Linked DNA regions of Lepisosteus oculatus. The protein of the gene in region 1 interacts with the protein of each later gene in a pairwise test. Links are inferred from orthologs where the notes say so. Each region holds a gene or a part of one and is shown in the gene's direction. Other genes may lie near its edges.

What was found. The genes of interacting proteins can lie anywhere in the genome.
Region 2: the proteins of fblim1 (region 1) and protein CutA homolog interact in binary tests that used the Homo sapiens proteins (3 or more experiments, as listed by UniProt). The two-hybrid records come from large-scale screens. The link is inferred for Lepisosteus oculatus from reciprocal best matches to the Homo sapiens genes FBLIM1 and CUTA.

The regions. Positions count from the first base shown.
Region 1 is NC_090720.1:298,374-305,305, reverse strand, and holds the start of fblim1 (filamin-binding LIM protein 1), read left to right. Parts: upstream 1-3,921; 5' UTR 3,922-6,052; intron 6,053-6,932. Other genes in the region: tmem82 (transmembrane protein 82), read left to right, coding at 16-106, 189-261, 1,735-1,912, 2,179-2,590, 2,666-2,853, 3,015-3,125. UniProt on the Homo sapiens protein: Serves as an anchoring site for cell-ECM adhesion proteins and filamin-containing actin filaments. Is implicated in cell shape modulation (spreading) and motility.
Region 2 is NC_090707.1:37,560,962-37,568,794, forward strand, and holds the start of protein CutA homolog, read left to right. Parts: upstream 1-4,832; 5' UTR 4,833-4,912; intron 4,913-5,585; exon of another isoform or gene 5,586-5,776; intron 5,777-6,246; 5' UTR 6,247-6,249; coding exon 6,250-6,315; intron 6,316-7,143; coding exon 7,144-7,292; intron 7,293-7,833. Other genes in the region: eif3d (eukaryotic translation initiation factor 3 subunit D), read right to left, coding at 554-675, 1,157-1,229, 1,862-1,947, 2,447-2,583, 3,178-3,223, 3,328-3,450. UniProt on the Homo sapiens protein: May form part of a complex of membrane proteins attached to acetylcholinesterase (AChE).

The DNA.
Region 1 (6,932 bases):
TGTGTCGCGGCAGGAATGCTGTCCGTCCTGCGGTCCTGGCTGCCCGCTCTCCCCGGCGTGTCGTGGCTGTCGCCCGGCACCGCCACGCTAGACTCGCTGCTGCAGGGTAAGAGCCCGCCCCCCCGGGGTCCGGCCGCCGCTCACTTCCGCCTGGCCCGCGACCCACCGGCGTGTCTGTTTCCCGACAGGGCTGGTGGGCGCGTGCGGGATCTCGGTGCTGTGTAACCTGCTGCGCGTGCACGCGTTCATCAAAGGCTTCAGGTGAGTCGCCTGTCCAGAGCTGGACGCGCCTGCAGTGACCCCTGGAAGGGTCATCGCGTCTGAAGGGCCACATCGTCATCGGCTTGACCAGAGTGTGAGACTGTCCAGGGTGTGGTGCTCCAGTGTACTGAGAGCTGGACCGGAGAATCAGCAGTACTGTAAACACTGAGAGTTATTCAAGTAGCACTGCAGTGACACTGCTGTGTGCGGGGTGACAGTGTGTCTGTAGTTCACTGCAGTAGCTCTTCTCTGTGTGCAGGGTGACAGTGTGTCTGTAGTTCACTGCAGTGACACTGCTGTGTGCGGGGTGACAGTGTGTCTGTAGTTCACTGCAGTAGCTCTGCTCTGTGTGCGGGGTGACAGTGTGTCTGTAGTTCACTGCAGTGACACTGCTGTGTGCGGGGTGACAGTGTGTCTGTAGTTCACTGCAGTAGCTCTGCTCTGTGTGCGGGGTGACAGTGTGTCTGTAGTTCACTGCAGTAGCTCTCTGCTCTGTGTGCGGGGTGACAGTGTGTCTGTAGTTCACTGCAGTGACTCTGCTCTGTGTGCAGGGTGACTGTGTGTCTAGTTCACTGCAGTAACTCTGCTCTGTGTGCGGGGTGACAGTGTGTCTGTAGTTCACTGCAGTAGCTCTGCTCTGTGTGCAGGGTGACAGTGTGTCTGTAGTTCACTGCAGTAGCTCTCTGCTCTGTGTGCAGGGTGACAGTGTGTCTGTAGTTCACTGCAGTTGCTCTCTGCTCTGTGTGCAGGGTGACAGTGTGTCTGTAGTTCACTGCAGTAGCTCTCTGCTCTGTGTGCAGGGTGACAGTGTGTCAGTAGTTCACTGCAGTAACTCTGCTCTGTGTGCAGAGTGACAGTGTGTCTAGTTCACTGCAGTGACTCTGCTCTGTGTGCAGAGTGACAGTGTGTCTGTAGTTCACTGCAGTGACTCTGCTCTTTGTGCAGGGTGACAGTGTGTCTGTAGTTCACTGCAGTAACTCTGCTCTGTGTGCAGAGTGACAGTGTGTCTGTAGTTCACTGCAGTAGCTCTCTGCTCTGTGTGCAGAGTGACAGTGTGTCTGTAGTTCACTGCAGTGACTCTGCTCTGTGTGCAGGGTGACAGTGTGTCTGTAGTTCACTGCAGTAGCTCTCTGCTCTGTGTGCAGGGTGACAGTGTGTCTGTAGTTCACTGCAGTAGCTCTCTGCTCTGTGTGCAGGGTGACAGTGTGTCTGTAGTTCACTGCAGTAGCTCTCTGCTCTGTGTGCAGGGTGACAGTGTCTGTAGTTCACTGCAGTAGCTCTCTGCTCTGTGTGCAGGGTGACAGTGTGTCTGTAGTTCACTGCAGTAGCTCTCTGCTCTGTGTGCAGGGTGACAGTGTGTCTGCAGGATCACTCAGTCCTGCAGTAACCTGCTGCTGTTGCCAGAGCCCTGCAGCTGGTAAAACCTGGACTGGATCAGACTGCTCTTCACTGGGAGTCTCTGTGCTTTTGCAGTGACCCGGGCCGGGCCAGTGGAGACCGGGTGCAGTTGCACAGGAGAGGCGGGTTTATGGAGGCGGTCCAGCTGTGGGTTTTGACGGCGGTGCTGGGAGTGGTGGGTTCCAGGGTCGCTGCGCTGGTGGTGCTGGAGTTCTCACTGCGGGCCGTTTCTGCAAGACTGATGGCAGTGCCGGTGAGCCACACACACTGAACACTGGTCCTCTGAGACTGACACTGAACACTGGTCCGCTGAGACTGACCGGTGAGACTGACACTGAACGCTGACACTGAACTCTGGCCTGCTGAACACAGGCACTCTGAACACTGACGAGCTAAACAGTGACACCAAACACTGGCACAATGCTTGACGCTCTGCTGTATGCAAAGCAGCTGATTGAATTCAGTCTAATAAAGAGCAGAACTGTAAGACTCATTGCAGTGCCACCTCTCTGCCTGCAGGAGGCCCTCCACAGCAGCCAGCTACTGGTGCAGTGCCAGTTCTCCCTGGGCTGTGCGCTGACCTGCAGCCTCAGCTTCCTCCAGGAGGGGGCGCCGCAGAGCACCCTGAGCCTGGCGCTGAGCGCAGGGCTGGCAGGGCTGCTGTGCTGGCACACGAGGTCGCTGTGGGGGCACGTGGGCACGATGTACAAGCTGCACAGCTCCCAGCGGTACTGCGGGGTGTGCGTCGCGCTTCTGACCTGGTCCCACGCCATCCCGGGCCTGCTGCGCCGCGCCCTCGCCCTGGCCTTCCTGGTGGCGGCCGTTGCCGCCTTGTCCCTGATCAACCGCGACTTCCTGTCCGCGGCCGACGCCCTGAGGTTCTGGACTCCCCTGACGATCTGCTACACCTTGCTGGTCATCTACATGCAAGGTGAGGGGGGGGGCGGCCGGGGGGGGGGTGTGCGCTTCTGGGTCTTTTACTGACCGTCTCTCCCCTCCCCCTCAGAGGAGCAGCAGCACCGCCCTGGTGGCCAGGCTGTGTTCCAGACCGTGGTGGTGCGACTCGGGGGGCTGCTGGTCCTGATGCTGACGGTCGGTCGCTGGGGCGACGTGCTGCACATCCTGGTGTGCTTCCTGGGGGAGGGGTGCTGCCTGCTGCGGGCCTGGGACCTGCTGACAGCCCACCAGACACAGGTCCGCCCCCCCGCACCCCTGTTCCCTGAGCTCCCCCTCCCCGGCCTCCCGGCTCACACTCCCCCCGGGCAGGACCGCAGGCTCCGGCCTGGCGCGGCGCAAGGGCGCATCGTCACCAGCGGTATGGCGGCGGGAGGTTCACCCCCTGTTTCTGTCTGCAGGAGGCTGAGCTCGGCCCCACCAGGGGCTCCCCAGGGCCCAGGAAGGAGGGCGTCTGCTTGAGAGGCTGTCCTGAGGTCGCCCAGGCCAGCAGAAAAGATAAGGACCTGTAGCGGCCCTGAGGAGACTGCCTGAGCTGAGCCCTGCTGGCTCCCAGTCTACCAACATTGAGCACACCCGCTGGGACCAAGAGACTTGAGCCTTTAGGCGGAGACTTTTCTATCTTGTTTAATTCATGTACTTAAACTTTATACACCTTCACGCCAGCAGAAAGCACTGTTGCAGCAGGGAGAGAAGGGAGAGGAGAGGGAGGGAAAAAGATAGAGAAAGTCATACATTGAGATAACTGGAGATGGAGTAAAGGAACGAAGACTGCCCCCTGCTGGCTGAACGGCATACAGGCAGTGTGCTGGTTTTTTACAGTGCAGTAGCAAGAGCTGCCACCAGAGGTCCAGATCGACATTTTCTCTGGACCTTGAGACCGCTGCTCACAAGCCAGCACATCCAGTATTTTACACTTCAGATCAATCCTCCTCAAATTATTTCAGTTTAAATTGTGTACATATTATTTGGACAATGATCAGGGTGCTGTTGCTTTTGTTGGTGTGTCAGTCTGGCATCTGTCTGTAAGTCGGTCAGAGTCAGATTGGCTCTCTCTTCGTCTCCCTCTCTTCCTCGGTGTCTGTCTGTGTGCGTCTTACTGTCCCCTAACTCCCCACTGACTGTCTGTTCTCACAGTGTTCCCACTGTTCCAGGACTGTTTTCACCCTGCATGGAGTTTGGTGTAATAAATAATATGAGAATGAAAGTTAGAGGGAAGCTGCCCACAGATACAGAAATACAAATGTGAGCGTGTGTGTGCGTGTGTGTGCGTGCGTGTGTGTGCGTGTGTGTATGTGTGTGTATGTGTGTATGTGTGTTTGCACAGACTCTTTTGCAAGAGCTCTGCCCTCTGAGCCCTTATCACCCCTGCCCTGTTCTTTGCTGATTGTATCTGTAGGGAGTCACTTCTGTTGTTTTTCAAAGGTGGAGATAAATTCCTTTGTTGCATGTGGCAGTTAAAATGAATAATTACTGCTGCTGTCTCTAAAGACACTGTCCCTGCCTCTAGAGACACCATCACTGCTGCTGTCTCTAGAGACACTGTCCCTGCCTCTAGAGACACTGTCACTGCTGCTGTCTCTAGAGACATTGTCCCTGCCTCTAGCGAATATTTGGTTTGGAAGTAGTGGGGCTGATGGGGATGGTGCTCAGGTCCTGCACTCTCACACGGTTGTTCTGAGAGAGGTGTGAGCACTCTCACTGACCAGGCGCTCGTCAGACCCTGCGGACTCGCAGGCCTGGCTCATGCTGATGGACCACAGTGTGATATACTGACAGCTTGCAGCCTGGGACAGAGGGGGTGTCACTGTGACCCCAGGAGCAGGAGGTCTGCGAAGTTTGCCGAATCTGCGCAGCTCTGCTGAGTTGGTGCAGTTTGTCTGCGCAGCCCGGCAAAGATGTAAACGCACCAGTGGGACCTGAAGTGAGTCCAGTGCGAGGAGAGAGCTCACCAGCCCAGCGATTCACCTGGTTTCAGACAGGAGCCCAGAGCTGTCTGCTGCCCTCCTAGAGCCTTGCTGTTTACACACTTTCCCAGCTGTGTGTGTGCGAGAGAGTGTGTGAGTTTCACTCAGTGTCCAGAAAGGACTCGGAAAGTCTCAGTGTTCCCCTCTGCTCTGGGCCGGGTCAGGCGCTGTCCTGCTGGGGCGGCTGGTTCAGTGGAGCAGTTGGAGGTCCGAACAAAACTCTGAAAGTCCCAAATGTAGAAGTGAAACTAGAGGTTTCTCTGTGCCGGAGAGAAGCTGCCTGGGAGTGTGGCTCCAGCTCAGCCGGGTGGGAGTTCCAGGCAGCGGAAGTCTGGGGGGGGGGCATGGGGCCCCCAGGGCATGACTGACAGCAGGACAGCGGGGTGGGCGGGGCTGACCTCTCGACCCTGTGGGCAGGAGGAGGGGCTGGCAGGGGTCTGGGTGATGTCATCACGGACAAGCCCCAGCAGCCCTGAACATTCCTCAGAGCCTGACTCCTGCCTCCACACCCCTCCCCCTCTCCCGCTCTGTCCCAGGCGTCTCCCTGCTCCTGCTCCTGTTTTCCCGGCTCCACACTCCCCTCCCTCTTTCTTTATGAACACCTCTTCTCAGTCCCTGTGCCAGAGTCATCGTGTGCTGTTAATCCGTGACGTTTAGGCCTTGTGCACGCTGCACACACTCCCAGCCTCGTCTGCGTGTCACAGATTCGCCGAACAGCTGGGTGTACGCGCTGCACACACTGAACACCAGATGTGGATATACTGCATAAACACACTGAACACCAGGTCTCCATATACTTAATACATTTGCAGACTAAGCACCAGGTGTGTTTATGAACTGTACACTGAACGCCAGGTGTTCACAGGCTGTGTACCATATAGACACTCTGAACACCTGGTACGCTGTTGATTGGCGTATACCTGCTGCACCCTGGGGTGTCCTGTTCAGGTCTGGGGCCAGCAGCAGCTCCAGCTGGGAGGCAGGGAGAGGAGAGTCTGGGAGAAGGGGGGCGGGGGCTGTCCGTGGGCAGGTATCTACTCACATCCTGCTCCCCCGCAGGAGGAGGAGACAGAAAGAGAAAGAGAAAGAGGGAGGGAAGCAGTGGGGGTGAGGCTGTGCGTCAGTTTCGTGGAGCTCAGGCTCTGACTCAAGAACTGTTCACCTTTTCCGGCCGGAGCCGGAGCCGCAGAGGGGGAGGGAGGGCTGGAGGAAAGGGAGTGGCCTGACGGAGCTGCTCTCCAGGTCCTGGGACAGAGACCCGCCGTGCCGACACCCTGCCAGGACCGGGAGCACAGACACTGCGCGGGACCCCAGTCTGCCCAGCACAGACGCACAGCGAGAGCCAGGCTCATCTGCAGGCTCCCCCTGACGGCCCTGATAGCCTGGAGCTTCACTGCACAGTGCAGCCAAGACACTTCTCTGTCATCTGGAGCAAACTGAGGGGCTCATTACTGTAGACCCCTGGGGTACAGGTTAGTGCTGGATTCCCTGTCTTGCAGGGAGAACTGCTGTCTCTGTATCCCTTTGTCTCTGTGTCTCTGTATCCCAGTGTTTCTGTGTCCCCGTATCCCTGTATCCCCATAGCCCTGTGTCTCTGTATCCCTTTGTCTCTGTGTCTCTGTATCCCAGTGTTTCTGTGTCTCCGTATCCCTGTATCCGCATATCCCTGTGTCTCTGTGTCTCTGTATCCCTTTGCCTCTGTGTCTCCGTATCCCTGTATCCCCATATCCCTGTGTCTCTGGGTCTCTATCCCCATATCCCTGTGTCTCTGTATCCCTTTGTCTCTGTGTCTGTTATCTGTGTGTCTGGGTTACTGGTCTCTGTGTCTGAATAAATAAAGTATTCTATCATTGTTTCTGAACTCTGGCTATGCTATGATTACTAGACTCCCTTGTCTCCCATGAATGAAGCTACTCAGGAAACATGCTGTGTCGGCAGCACCTCTCCACCTTCTCAATAACCGATCACACCTGAAGAAGGCTCTACAGCCGAAACATTGTGTTTCCTTTCTTTTCTTTTCAGCAGGGAATAAAACCCGTTACCCGTTCCTTTGTAGCCTGTGCATGCTGACGGATCTCCCTACTTGATCTATGTGTAAATAATGTTGATCAGCTATCAATAATGCTGTGGTCAGTAGTTTCCTGTTCAGATAGGGCTACAAACTTGTTGCTCCCAACACAAGAAAGTACAAGGAGGGCTAGTTAGTGTGGGACAATTTTAATCTTTTTTGCAAAATGACTTCAATGATTCATGAACTGTTCACAGAACTACAGTGCTGCTCAGACCTCTCCTCCCAGTGTGGATCTGTGTCTATGGTAAGTGTGTTCCAGGGGTGAGCTGGCATCTGGCTTG
Region 2 (7,833 bases), on another chromosome or scaffold:
GGGGTAGACACCCTGTCACAGCACTCGCTGAGGGGCAGAGAGGGGTAAATACAGGGGTACAGGGGTATATACCCTGTCACAGCACTCGCTGAGGGGCAGAGAGGGGTAAATACAGGGGGTAGACACCCTGTCACAGCACTCGCTGAGGGGCAGAGAGGGGTCACCGCAGTCGCCATGGGGACCGGAAGAGCCGGGTCCCTTACAAAACACCCATCATGCCGACGCTCCCATCTGGCTTCAGAGAGAACGCAAACACAGCAAGTTCACAGGGCACCACGCCCGTCACGACGGGCGCTGACTGCAACACGCCCTGCGGCCTTTCTCCTCGGTTAAGGAGCAGACATTCAGCTCCACCGAGCAGGACGAGGAGTGGTGTTCTTAAGGGGACCTATAATTTCCGTCACGGAACCAGAGTAAAACCTGTACTGCACCCTCCTCCGGGCTCCAAAACCCCACGTGGCTTCTGCATGTTCTCTGGGGGGGGGGGGGAGAGTTCTGAACGACCGACTGACGTGCAGAAAGAAAGGGAGGGGTCAAGAGAGGGGGTACTCACACGTCGACGGGGTCGGCCACCTCCATGTATCTCATCTTCATGAGGCGGGGGAAGTCCATCTCCTCCTTCACCTCCCAGTCGCTGCGGACCTCCACCGAGGAGTCACGGGGCTTCAGCTGTGCCTGCCGGAGCAGGGCAGCCTGAGCGCACATTCACCCAGAGAGGCCTCCACGCTCAGGCAAAAAACGAACCGGAAACACTCGGGATCGCTCTCAAGCGCAGCGGTCCCTTGCACCAGACTGATGGCAACCCCCCGTCTTAATCATTCCGTGGGCATCAAATACTACCCGGGATTGAAAAGACTACAACATCAAGAAGCTGTAAAAGAGAACTGGCAACCCCCCAGTGCACCCAAGCAACTTGCGGCAACTTATTTCAACTCTTAAAGCTCCGTTTCGCGTTCGCTTGGAAATAGCCTTGACAACTAACCTGCCGCATACGGTCGTAAAAGAAATGACCCTGCATGGGCGCACAATGTAATTCTATCAAGGCACGAGCCATTACAGGCCAAGCAGGGGGCGTCGGCTCTCGTGACGTCCCAAGGCCACAGCTGCAGAGGCAGATGGGAATCCCGCTGCAGGTCTGTCCAGGAGCTCCCCTTACCTGTGATTTCTGGTCCCATTTCTGCCGCACGCCGAACTGCTTCTGAAACTTCTTCTGCAGCCGCATGCGGTCCCTGACAAGGGGGGAGGGGGGTTACACAAGAGAGTCAGCTCTGGGCCCAGAACCCCCGGAGCCCCCCTGTAAATAACCTCATGACCATACCGGGCGCTGTCCTTCTGCTGAAGCCCAACACCCCCAATCCCGCCCCCCCCTTTCCCAAAAAACGCTCTTCCCTTTTCAAACCCGAAGGGGCACGCTCACCGAGGGTCCCGCCCCACCGTGCAACGCGGACGCTTAGAGGAGACGCAGGTTCCGAACCCTGCTCCCTGCCGAGCTCTGCACAGAAGAAATTGTCCAGAGGCCGCAGGAGCAGCTGTGGAGTCGTGGGGTTGCCCAGGGACTTGGCCTTCTGAACCGTCACGAAGGCTGAAAGCCATCAAGCAGCGCATGTCTGAGGCACCGTGCATCTGGCAAACCTTCCAGAAGGGCTGTCCAGTGCCAGTGGTGGCACAAGGCTCAATTTTAGCACTCGCATTTAGCAATATCCGTTTACAAGGGCCAATACCGCACTACTCCTCTCGCTGCACTGCAAATGGACTTGCAGCTGCTTGCAAGGGTAACCGTCTGCAGAAACCCTGCGGGGTTCAGCGTTTCGAACACCACCCCCTCCCTCCCCTGTCTCCAGCCAGCTCGGTCTCCTCTCACCTCTCCTTCTGCTTGGCGCTCTTGGGCAGGGTCTGCATGTTGAACTGCATCATGTTCCTGCGGTCCTTGTCACGGCGGAGATTCCTCTGCAACACAGACAGGCACAGACTGCATTAGGGACAGGAGCTCTGATCCTCAGGGACGGACAAGACAGGCACAGACTGCATTAGGGACAGGAGCTCTGATCCTCAGGGACGGACAGACAGACAGGCACAGACTGCATTAGGGACAAGACCACAGATTCTCAGAGACAGAAGCACAAGCTGTGAAAAAGCCAGACTGAAGTTTAAGGCCGACTTCAATCCTCTTTGACCAGAGGATGTTACTGAGTGACTCTCAAAGTTAGGGCGAGCCGCCTGCTCTGTACCCACCACGTGGAGCTTCTTCTCTGCTTGGCTTGTCTCAAAAGACGCTCCACGACAAAAAACACGATAACGGATACAAACGGAACAAGCATCTGCTTCCTGTACCGTCACCTCTTCCAGAGACGGACGCAGTCTGAAAGTTGTACTGAGCTACCCAGAGCCCCTCCGTTCCTGCACGCCCGGCAGAGACAGACAGACACACGGGGCCGGCCCCTCGTACCTGCGCGAACCTCATGCGGTTCCTCTGGTAGGCCGTCTTCTGCGTCTTGGCCGTGTCCACCAGCTGGAAGCTGGTCTCGTCCTCCTCGTGGAAGTAGGCGTACTGGCTGCCGCCGCCAAACTGCGACGAGTACTTATCTGGGACACGAGAAGACATGCGCTTCAGTATCCAACTCCGCTAGCCCGCTGCACTCGGGGGAAGCCGGGGAAACAAAAACACCACCAGACTCCCAGCTGCTCAGCATTCTTCATCCGTTTGAGGCTCCGCAGGCCGCAAACCCCCGTACTGTTTTCACTGCTGGAAGCCATGTCTGCGGCCGAGACGACCTCAAACTCCAGGACGCCCAGCAGGCCGAACCCGAAACAGCCCAGACTGCTCTGCTGTGGGAGTCCCGTCCTCCTCCCCACACTTCCAAAGTGAATCCACAATGGAAAAAAAAGATGCCAACGCTGGACAAGAAACTGAGTATTCCAGGTCCAGGTAACTCATTACAGATTCAATAAGTAACAATTAATATGTTGCTTTCAATATACGTAAACAAAGTGGCTCCAATGCATGCCCCTGCATCAGGTGCTCAAAGCTACCGACAGTAGACCGCAAACCCACTAAATAACTTCTCACACCTGAAGAAGGCTCCACGGCCGAAACGTTGTGTTTTCTTTCTTTTCAGCAGGGAATAAACCTCTTACTTGTTCCACTAAATACCTTCACACTACAGTCGCACCACTCACTTGTGTATCTTTTGTCTTGGTATGTCGCTCCTGTCCAGTCGGCGACCTGAAACACAGAGGAGGATGAGAGGGTGCAAGCCACACGCCTGCTCCCGGACCCTAAAACCAGGACGACAAGGGGAAAGTCGGGGCGTCCGCGGCGGCGCTCACCTTGCCCAGGCGGTCCCCCTTGCTGAAGGGCTGGTAGGGCATGTCCTTGAACTGGTCCGGCACTGCGCACGGACCCCACCCGCTCGGGTTATCCTGGATCACCGGGGCGTGGAACTTCGCCATGATCCCTGGAAAAGGGGGGGTGGGGAGAGAGAGAGAGGAGGCACCTACAGTCACGGCTCGGTGGGCTGCAGCTTGCACGCAAGATTCACCAGGCCACCCAGCACAGAAACACAGCTCGGGTAAGCAGACGCACAAGGGGGGAAAAAAAACACTCGATTGTGTGATCTCGGTATTACCCAGTTTAGGAGAAACCACAACACACCCACACCCACCCCCCACGGCCAGGCGCCAGGTCTCAGACTCTGTACAGCACTGTTTTCATCACTGGTCTCCAGGGACACTGTCAACCTGTCGGCTTGCGCAGTGGACTAGTCATCACCGACCTGACACCTGCAGTCGGCCCGATCGGGGACACGACGAGCTCAATGCGGCGATTCGGGGCTCAGGCAGGAGGAGACCGGGAATCCCCCCCGTCCCTCCAGGACTGCAGCTGCGCCCCCCTGCTTCATCTGGGACTTCAGCCCCATGACTGAGATGCCAAGAGACGGGGCAAGAAGACGAGCCAACACCCCCTCTCGGGTAGTAAAGTGTGAGGGTGTGAGCCTTCTTCAGCCTTCACACACCTGAAGAAGGCTCCACGGCCGAAATGTTGTGTTTTCTTTCTTCTTCTTTTTTTCCCCAACATGGAATAAACCCCATTAACTATTTCCCCACAGGCGAGGTGAATTACACGCCTCCCCAGTGGCGCTCGTAAACGCCAACAGGTCTGCCAGCAGGTACGACGCTGGCCGTGCCTAATGAATGGCGTGTTGTTTTTCCCTGCAGAACAGCTCGATTCCTGGTCTTCCCAGAAACACAAGACCTCAGCTGTTTCCGGCAGCGGCCTCGTCGACGGTGCCTGCTCCAATTCCTTTACAGCTCCTTTCTTTCTAACGTTAATAACGTCGCAGATCCAAACACCGGTCTGGCGGGGATTGCTGACAAGCGGACACTCCTGTTGCAAGCCTCTCCAACCGGCCCTGCTCCCCCAGGCGCGACCCGGCCAGTTTCCTGCCCGTGCGGAAAGCAGGGGACCCGCTGGATTTAAACCGCTACCCCACCTCAGACTGGACTGAGAGCCAAGAGCCCCTCGTATTCAATAACTGCAGGACGCCACACTTAACTATAGTTAGTACTGACACTGAATTCTTGCACAGACTTCCTGGGTGCGCTACCGCCCCTAGTTAATCTACATCGGCTCAATCCAACAGCGTTATTTGTATGAAGAACAACATCCATACCTTCAATACAGGCACCGACAAACGGGAAAACTCCCCTGTAACAGTTATTGGGGTTATTTACCTCCGTCTCGGTCTTTAACTCTTGGATGGTCTTGAGATTTTAGTCCCCGGTATCTCACAATTCAACACGAAGCTGTGGCGAAACGCCGGCGGAAGACAAGGGCCGTAAAGCGGATCGTACTTCCTGTCGTGGCCGGAAGCTGCTGCTGTCGAACCGACCAACTCCTTTACGACAGTTTCATGTATGTTATCGTACCGAAATATTGATGCAAGTAACGGATAAAAACATTCTTATTCTAGTGCCAAATGTAATCTTACAAAAATGTTTTTTTAAAACTCATTAAAGTTTCAGTATTTTGTTCAATGATTTCTTCTATTTTTTCCATGCACCTGTCTTTTATCAGTATTCAATATCAATATTCAATATCAGTATTTCTCGGGGAAATAACCAGTATTCTTTGGACATGGTGCTGAATACTAATCCCCAGTGACCACTTTTACCCTTAAAATTTGTCACAGATGCCTCCTTTTACGCTTTGTACGTAGTGGTTTAATGCTAAGTTAAGAATAAAACGCATCTAATCCTAAAACTAAAATTCAGTCATTGAGGACTAGAAATAAATAAAGCATAAAGCACTTGGGGGGCAAAATAAGAGGTTATTCACCAATGAATTGTAATAAACGTGCTTTCCTTTCTCTCACAAATATTCTACAAAGCCTTTACCTAAAGGCGGGGAAGAAATGTATAAAGTAGTAATTATTCATCGTTATTTCGAAATCAGTGGGATTCTTGTGACGAAGAACCGTTTTCAGCGACAAGGGAATGTTGTTGTTTTTTTTACTTTTAGTGCGCTTCTTGTTAAATAAAGTCAAAAGACACGAGATATATAGACCGCCGCTGGGCTGTCGGTCTTATCAGCGATGAGAGCTGAGGCGCCGCGACAGAACGTTTTGCTTTGCGGCACCCGTAGCAGAGTCGTGCAGGACCGGACTCCAGCAGGTAGAGGCAGCGCTCAGGACCCAGTCCAGAAACACGCTTTCAAGGGGTGGGGGGACGTACTTTTTCGGATGCAATTCCTAGTGTCTGCGCAGAATAAGCAGCGCTGGTCAGTGTTTAAAAAAAAAACTCGGCGCCAGAAGTAAATTAAAGGGGCTTCTGTAGATTTATGGTTGGCAGTACTTGCTTTAAGGCAAAGTCTTATCCCCGTGCTACTGCTCGGTAGCTGTTCTACCGCCTACATTGAGCGTGTGCTTTAAAAACATTGTTTTTTTTAAATCAGGCGGTAGTTTTATACGCAATTTAAAGAACGTCAAAAATAACGGCGGCAGTGAAGGAATGAAACGTTTATATAAACTAAGTTGCGTGTTGTTCTGTGGGTATTGTAGGTAATAGTTAAGCTCGCAGCACGCCAAACTACTGTACTGTAAATCTGACTTCTCTAGTTACAGACGCCAGAGCGAAGCTGGGACTGGCGCAGATTGCTCTATATGGGAGTCTTAACTGGTTTTGTCTGTCCGGCGCTGAGCTTGGTCTGGCTCAGGTTGCTCTGTAACTGGTCCGGTCTCTCCTGGGCAGGTGATGTTATTCGGACTCCGAGTTCTGGACGGATTGCAGAGCGGGTCAGCGGTCAGAAACACCTGTGCAGTGAGTATCCGAGAAGAGAACTAAATCCCCGCTCTCCCTTGTCAGCAAGCACTGTCTCTCCTGCGTGGCAGACCCTGGCGATGTCTGTCTGGATACTCAATCAGTAGACTGTGCCTGCTCTGGCACTCCTGGGCCTGTTGTATTTAGTTTTTATAGGTACAGGTCTTTAAACAGGTGTAGGAAGAGGTGTTCTTTCCACAGGTCTTTACACAGGTGTAGGAAGAGGTGTGTTCTGACACGCAGTGCAGTCTGTAAGTATTTGGACACAGACAACATTTGTTGTTTTGGCTCTGCACTCCAGCACACTGGATTTGAAATGAAACAAGGACTATGAGATTGAAGTGCAGAATGTCATCTTGAATTTGTCTGTATTGGGTGGACCGTATAGGAATCACAGCCCTTTTTATACAAAGTCCCCCCATGTCAGGGGACCAGAAGTAATTTAGGTATATAAATCGGTATAGGAAGAGGTATTCTTTCCATAGGTGTTTAAATAGGTATAGGAAAAAGTGCTCTTTATATGGGTATTTGAAGAACATACTGTACATGGGGTAGTGTCTTCTGTAAATACACATTTTAATGGGTATAGCAAAATGTGTTCTTTAAATGGGTATAGGGCAATGTGTTGCTTTAAACAGGTGTCTGATTAGGTATAGGGAAAGTCTTCTTTCTCTAGGCGTTGTAAGAGGAGGGGAATTAGCTGCCCGGACTGGCCAGGGGTTTGAGGACTGTGATTCAGAGTAACTTGTGGGCCTGCGTGTTAGTTTGAGGATGTGACCGGTTCTGAAGCTGGTCCTGGTGCTGTCTCTCTGTCGTCTCTGCCCCCAGGCTGTGCTGCTGAGCCTGTCGATGCTCGCGCTGCTGAGGCCTCTGGGACTGCGCACGTTCTCCATGGCGGCCGAATCGTACGTCTCGGGCACGCACTCCGCCGCCTTCGTCACCTGCCCCAACGAGCAGGTGGCCAAGGACCTGGCCAGGTGAGGGGCCGGCCCGCCCTCCCCCTGCGTCGCGTTTGCTAGTGTGACAGAGGAGGGCGCCGCACGTGCGGGGGGGGGGGGGCTGCTCTTTACTCACGCCCTGATAAGAAGGGCAGGGTCGCCACCTCTCTGCCGCAGCCCAGCCTAGAGCATGACGGCACCAAACTTGAGTGGCCTTATCCGAGTCCAGACAGCTGAACATACCCGCCATTGACCACTTTCCATCACAAACCACTGAATCCAACTGTGTCCTTGTATACATGTTTGGAACTGCGTATGAAATTGTAACAGGAATGTACACAAAGAGAGACGGCGATCTTCCCCCGAGCGTATTCAGCGCAGGACCCACCTATTTAACAGGCTCCACTAGTGTGGAGACAGATTGCCATTAATACCGTGGGGAGAGTGTCCGATGTCACCACCCGGGACATTACTAATTCGGCCAGTGCAAAATCTCACCCCATAAGTTCACTGCATCTAATTGATGTTGGAATCGGATTTCTGTGCCCCCCCGCCCCCCCCGGCGGTGAAGCTGCGTGGC